Oryzias latipes: one gene and its partner. The protein of the gene in region 1 interacts with the protein of each later gene in a biochemical or structural test. Links are inferred from orthologs where the notes say so. Each region holds a gene or a part of one and is shown in the gene's direction. Other genes may lie near its edges.

Evidence for each region. The genes of interacting proteins can lie anywhere in the genome.
Region 2: the proteins of sumo2 (region 1) and eef1g form a complex in vitro, tested with the Homo sapiens proteins (2 studies listed by BioGRID). The link is inferred for Oryzias latipes from reciprocal best matches to the Homo sapiens genes SUMO2 and EEF1G.

What each region holds. Positions count from the first base shown.
Region 1 is NC_019866.2:13,026,830-13,030,310, forward strand, and holds the end of sumo2 (small ubiquitin-related modifier 2), read left to right. Parts: intron 1-686; coding exon 687-758; intron 759-2,898; coding exon 2,899-2,961; 3' UTR 2,962-2,978; downstream 2,979-3,481. UniProt on the Homo sapiens protein: Ubiquitin-like protein that can be covalently attached to proteins as a monomer or as a lysine-linked polymer.
Region 2 is NC_019868.2:13,730,044-13,733,622, reverse strand, and holds the end of eef1g (elongation factor 1-gamma), read left to right. Parts: intron 1-157; coding exon 158-330; intron 331-1,737; coding exon 1,738-1,862; intron 1,863-2,664; coding exon 2,665-2,823; 3' UTR 2,824-3,036; downstream 3,037-3,579. UniProt on the Homo sapiens protein: Probably plays a role in anchoring the complex to other cellular components.

The sequences.
Region 1 (3,481 bases):
TTTGTTACTTTCTTTTATACTATGTTATATATGTGTGTGTTTCATTGAATTATTAATTGAGTTATAAAAAAGTTAGAGCTAACTGAACCCAAATATAAAATATTGCTCGTAGCTCTTGTATTGGCTTGTAAACGCCGCAGCAGTTTTTTTTTTTTGCTTTGTTTTTTTTGAACGGGTTCATAAACGCTGTTGTTTTTCAGGATTATAACTCGATTACCATGAAATGTTTACATCTTTTCACATCTTTCTAAATAATAACAAAAAACTCCTTATCTTATCCCTTTAGGATCTGGGATTCTCTCTACTCACTGAAAATGTAACCTATAAGTTAAATGAGGTTCTAATAGTTGAAAGCCTGAATTATTGTTTAATCTACAGCTTGATTTTCTCTGTATGACACAGCATGTGTGTGTTTGTCAGTGTAATGTGAATCAACTCTGACCTGTTGTAGGAAAACAGTCTTTCCTTCAGTGTCTCACGTCTGTGCTAATAATACATAACATGTGACATTATACATATTAATTAGTATATTAACTATGAATAAATACATTTATTACATGTATTGTTTTTTTTAATAGAACCACACAATTTTTGCTTTTTTTATGTATATGAACAGGAAATGTGTTCCAGTCACTCTAACGGAAAGCAGGCCTTTTGCTACAAATTAATAAGTATTGTCTTTGCAGGGACTTTCAATGAGGCAAATAAGGTTCAGATTCGACGGACAGCCAATAAATGAGACAGACACACCTGCACAGGTAGGACTGATGATATGCAAAACCTGCTGCCAGTGGAGTTTATCCCAAAAACGTGTTATAACAAAAATCCTTTATATGGGTGGATGAAGATAAAAGTAATGGATAGGTAGATAAATAGCTTGTTGAGTAGATTTGTAGGCTAGCTAGCTATATCTATCTATTTATGCTAAATACTTGCAACATAAATTAGGCAAATCTTGATGAATTGGCTGAACAATATTTCTTTCATCTTTTTTAGCAGGGGTGTCCCGATGTGATCACGTAGTTTCAAACTCGATTGGAATCCGATGTTGCGATCAGATCAGGACTCGGATATTTATTTTATCATTATTATATATTTCAATCTTAACTTTACAGATAAACACTTTACCAGATGTCTTCAAATTCTGACCGGATCCCAACGTTTTACTGCCATAAAGTGCAGCAGACAATGAGGCTAGGAGGCGCTGAAAGACAGTTTGAGAAGGTTAGCAAGATATTCACAGATTTGGACCTTCAGGCTCAATAATTCTTAAATGAGCACTTTAAACTGACAGCGAGTGTCATTGTCTCAACTCAAACAACAACTTAGAAAGGCGTTTAAAAAGAAAAGGGATCGAGCTTTGGTTACTTTTTAATGAGAATTGCTCTCTCCGTGCTGCTGACAGAAAGTCGGCAGTGAAAGGTGAAAGCTCTGGGAAAAAGTTATTTAAAAATGAAAAAAAAAAAGAAATCCATTTAAAAAAAACTAAAACTGATAAATGGTTACATTGATATGAGCTATTCATAAATATTTATGTTACAACAACAATTTTAAAAGACAGTCATCATTAATTTTAATGACTTTTTAATGCAAGTATGAATCACATAAGAACCAAAAATGTTCAATAATTCTGAGGATACTAAAGCTACAGTCACCAAACTTTCTCCCATGAATAATTATTTCCTATTTTTTACTAGTTTATAGTTAACTGTTCTTTGTAGTTGAAAGTTTTACGACTTTTGCTTGATTCTTTGAGTTATTTCACAGCGGCAAATTGTTTAAGTGTTAAATAATTAAAGAAAGTGAATAAAGTAAAAATCTGTGATAACCTGACTTCATTACATTTGATCATTTTTTATGTGTTACAATAATATCGGATCAGGCCTCGGTATCGGTACATACTCAAAATCAAATGACTCTGAATCGGATCGGGACTTCCTTAGTTTTTAGTTCTTGTTCCAAAGCTGGTCTGACTAAATCAATGCAGCCTCTAAATTAATGTATTAGGTTTAAAACATTCATGAGGTTCTTTTGTTGGGTTTGATCAATAAGCCATGAATCTCTGTAGAAATGAGCACATATGTTTTAGGCTTCTTTTGTTTAAGACCCATGATGTGATTCTGTTATTACCTATTTTCATTTTATTTCTTTTATTATTTTTCTCTTAGTAATGCAACCAGAACAAGATAACACTCACATTTTGGTTAAGAAACTCTTTGATTTCTAACGAAAACCAGGCCATTTACTTCTTTTATTTTTTGGTTTTTATTCCATTTTTTTATTTATTTTTTTTTTGCTTTCTGGGCTAGAACTTCACTGCAGTTTAGAGCAAACAGAAAACCCTCCGAATATTGAAGTGTAAATGAATAAACTTGTTGGCCATGCAGGTATTTCATATCCTCAAGCAGCAGCTTGCCGTGCTTGATGTCTTGATGCCAGATAATAGCGCTTCCATGGGAAACTTGTTCTGCCACAGGCAGAGAGGATTTATCATCTACATTCAGATGTCTGACGGAAACCTTTATCCACTTGTAGAGTTTGTTACGACGGCCAACGCACATGCACTGAATTAACTTCTATGATTGTATTATTGTAACCACACCATTGTTGTTTGAGGTTAAAGTGGTATTTTTGCTGTTCAAGGCAAATCTGTGTGCATGCTGTAGTCATAAAAACATCCCGCACTGTCATTTCTGATGCAGCTTTGGGGTTTGATATGCCCAGGGGGCAGAGTGTCAGCCCAAGGTCACATTCCACATGAATGGAACATGATGACATTTGCTTTTTTTTGCCCCCTTTATTGTAGAGAATTTCCCCTCTTATTTTAAAGATTAGATGTATTTAAATGTCTGAAAGGTATGTCTGTATGTATGACACTTTGTCCCCTTTTATCAACAGTTGGAAATGGAAGATGAAGATACAATTGATGTGTTTCAACAGCAGACGGGGGGCCGGATTTAATCAGCCACACATGCTGCCAGCCTCCTCTTCAACTTCGCCAGCATGCCACGCCACCCAGCAGCTGGCTCTCTGCGACTCTCAGTTGTGCCGACAGAATTCCACGCAGAAGGTTTAATTTCTCTGCTACACAAAACTGCTGTATGATATTTTCATCATGGCCCCCGTTACTTCTCTGCCCGTGTACATAAACTACATCCAGATCACCTCCAGTTCTGGTCATTTATTCCGTAATCTAGTAACTAATAACCTCCTGTCCCAGTTTAAAAGGTTTATTGTAAAGATGCTGTCTGCTGGGGCTTGGATTTGAGCAAGTTGGACTCTCACGGTCCATTAAAAAAAGGAGAAAAAAAAGAAATCTGTTTTTAAGATATACAAGTTGTTGGGTTGATTTCACTTAGTGAGCCATATACCTAGTTTATGGATGGAGCTTGGTTATAATTTACTTTTTCTTACCAACAGAAAATTTGGTTTTATACTTTTTATAGGGTATTGGATGTTTAGAAAACGAAAAGTGCTTTGT
Region 2 (3,579 bases), on another chromosome or scaffold:
ACATTTGTTTGTTGTAAATGTAAAACAATGGTAGACATTCATCATGTTGGGCTTCGTTTTGATGTTTTTGTAATTGCATTTATGGTCTGCTGTCTTAATTCTGCTTTAGTTAAGAGCAGAACAATGATCTCCGTGTTGTTTGTTTCTGTTTTAAAAGCACATTTGTCTTTGACGAGTTCAAGAGAAAGTACTCCAACGAGGACACCTTGACTGTAGCAATTCCTCACTTCTGGGAGCACTTTGACCGCGAGGGCTACTCCATCTGGTACAGTCAGTACAAATACCCAGAAGAACTCACACTTACCTTCAAGAGCTGCAACCTTATTACAGGTGAGACCAAAGGGGTTGGCTGGTGTATTGTCAATTCATTACTTTTTGCATCTTCCATAAAAGTAGTGGAATGTTTGTTTAGTCAGTAACACGAAGATAAAGGAGACCATGTAGGGGATTTTAGTGTAACATTTTAATTAGAAATTTGTGCATAACACTCTTCGCTTAAGAACTTGTTCTAAGCATTGATATTTTTGGTGATTTCTTCATTTATTTTCAAATCAATTTTTAACTTAAATGGTGATGTTGCTATGGCACCAACCCTTTAGTTTTTAGACTCATCCCTTGAAGTGAATGTGTTGCAGTTTTGGTTTTTAAAACTGGTTTGTCCAAAGGGTGGATCAAATGCAGGGATAAGTTTAGTAGGCTTATTCTGTATATCTATTTGATCAACACAAAGGAGCTGCACCCTTCAAACGGTTTCTGGATTATGTGTTATAACTGATAGTAAAGTTTATTTTGTTGAAAAAGTAAGATCAGAAATGTTTTTAATTGTATTTTGGCCCCATTTCCTATCACTTCCTGTATTCTCAAATATGTTTGCCTGCCAAATGGATATCTACACACACCTTTACCACTTTTCTTTTAGTGTTGAAATCCTGCATGTTTGTCTAAAAACAATGACCGGTGAGTCTAGTGATGTACTGGGAAAGCCATGGGTGTGTTGGTTTTAAACGGGACTTCAAGACCTGCCAAATCACTTAAATATTTGTACACACCTCACCCTGGAATGGATGTGTGTGTGAACCCTCTCTTTTGCTCTTTAAATGTAGAACTGTAAGTTTAACACAGTTTTGCAAGTCCTCAGCTTTAAACAATAGCAGTAGTTTCACTGTTAACCTTGTAAATATCATGATCTATTTTAGTTTGAAAATACCTGCATACATTTTTTTTAAAGATTTTTTACTCTTTACAGAATGAATATGTACTTTTTACAACAGATCTTAATCTTTTATTTCATTTGCTTAAATGCTGTAAACACATCCCTGAAATAAAAAAAGGTATAGTTTCAAACGTCTTTTTTTATATATAAATCAATACAGTGAATTTTTGAAATGTAATGCATTTGTACATATTTCATGTATTGCATTGGTTCATGTTTAATGATGAAAAAATGTCCCCTGTCAATGGGCAAGGCAGTGTCCTGTTTTGGCATTCAGCCTTAATCTGTCAGGGGAAGAGAAATGAAGACCATATTCATCCCAGTCATCTCTGGTTCAGTGAGAAACAAGCTGGTTCATGCTGTGGTCACATTGTACCGTTTATTTTCTGTACAATATTCTGGTGTTGATCAAGTCTGTGTAGATTACTGCAGACGTTACTCTTAAACCCACAGCTGCAGTTACTCTGCTATGACTTTGTTCTGTGAAAACGCTGCCACAATGTCTAAAAACTCTGTGTTCATAGGTATGTTCCAACGCCTGGACAAACTGAGAAAGAATGCCTTTGCCAGTGTCATCTTGTTTGGCACCAACAATGACAGCTCCATCTCAGGCATCTGGGTGTTCAGAGGACAGGAGCTGGCTTTCACCGTAAGTGCAGAAATATAGACTTCAGAATTGTGATTTGAAAGCTTCCAGAAAATATTCATTTTGCATGCTGCATACATGTATGGAGGGAAACGGATGCCTTTGAAATTCCTTTGAATGTTTAAGGCAAAAACGAGATGAGTTGTATTTCCCCTGTCATTGGGCAAGGCGGTGTCCAGATATGGCACTAAGTCTTAATCTGACTGGGGAAAAGAAATAATAGCTCCATTCATCCCAGTCATCTCTGATTCAGTGAGTTAGACTGGTTCATGCTGTTGCTACAAGTGGAATCTGTTCAACCTATATCTGCACTAAAGGGTCTGTAATTCTACTTTTTCTTAGGCCTTTCAGGGTAAACTATATCCATAGATATGGGTATGATCATAAAGAACAAATTATTATATGTGCATGTAATGGGAAAGCGTTTTTGCCGACCAATGCTAGCTCCACTGTGTGTGTGTGTGTTAGCCTGGAGGCGGAGCTGGCAGCGCAGACTCCTCCTAGAAAGTGCTGTTGATCACTTATGTATGTCAGATCGTGAAGACCCGCTCGTTTTTAGAGGAATACTCAGAAATGCTTGAACTTATCAAAGTACCACTTTAGGATTTCTTTTCGTGAGGAATGAAGATTATAATGCCCTTAAAAGTTAAAAAAAAGTTGAGTTTGTATGAAATAAGCCCTTTAATGCATTGAAGGTACAGAGATGTGTGGCTAAAGGAGACTATTAAAATCTGACAAATGGTTTATTGATTCAGAGATTAGATGCTGGGGTTCTGGATAAACATGTGCTTCCTGTCATTCTTAGCTTTCTGAAGACTGGCAGATTGACTACGAATCCTACGACTGGCGCAAGTTGGATCCAGATAGCGATGAGTGCAAGACCATGGTCAAAGAGTATTTTGCCTGGGAGGGAGAATTCAAACATGTGGGGAAATCCTTCAACCAGGGGAAGATCTTCAAGTGAGAGGATGCTGACATTTAGAGGAATTCTGTGCCCCCCCATCAAAACTATGGACTTTCAGCCACATGTGCTTACTTTGCAGCAGAAATGACTTTGAATAACCGTGTTTGAAAACAAAGACTTTTTTTTTTCTCAATGGGCCCTCCAAAACTGGTTTTCTGTTTTTTCTGACCTGTGAAATAAAGCATTTTCCTCAATGCTATTGAGACAACTTCACTTCTGTGTTGTATGTTTTTGATCCTTAGTGAGCCGTTTAAGGATTGTCCTTTGGTTGTCAATACTTCTGTGTGGTATTGCAACAACTTTTAAATTGCAATTTAATTTAAATGGGCTTCTAGAGTTTGACAACATAAAAAAAAGCTTCATATTGATAAATGGACATTATGTTGACATCAGATGTGAATTATTGAGCTTTTAAGTGTCCATCTGCATATTAAATCAAATTAAAAATTTTGACATTAAGAATGGATTCAACAGATCTATTGTAATGTGAGCTAATATTCTATTTCTCATTCAAAGAGAAAAACATGGAGAAGCGAATGCCATTAAGGTTTTCAAGTAGTTTTGAACTTTTAGACAAATTTACAATTTAAAACAATCGGCTTTTTCACCTAAAATTGTGTGGAACAATTAAAATGCCAGTGTTGCATTTTTCTATTATACCTGCAGGGGGCAGAAGAAGACTTACCAGTGAGGTGAGGAGGACTTTTTGATCTTGAAAGAGCAGGTTGTAGAGTAAAATCGAATCAGTTTCAAACT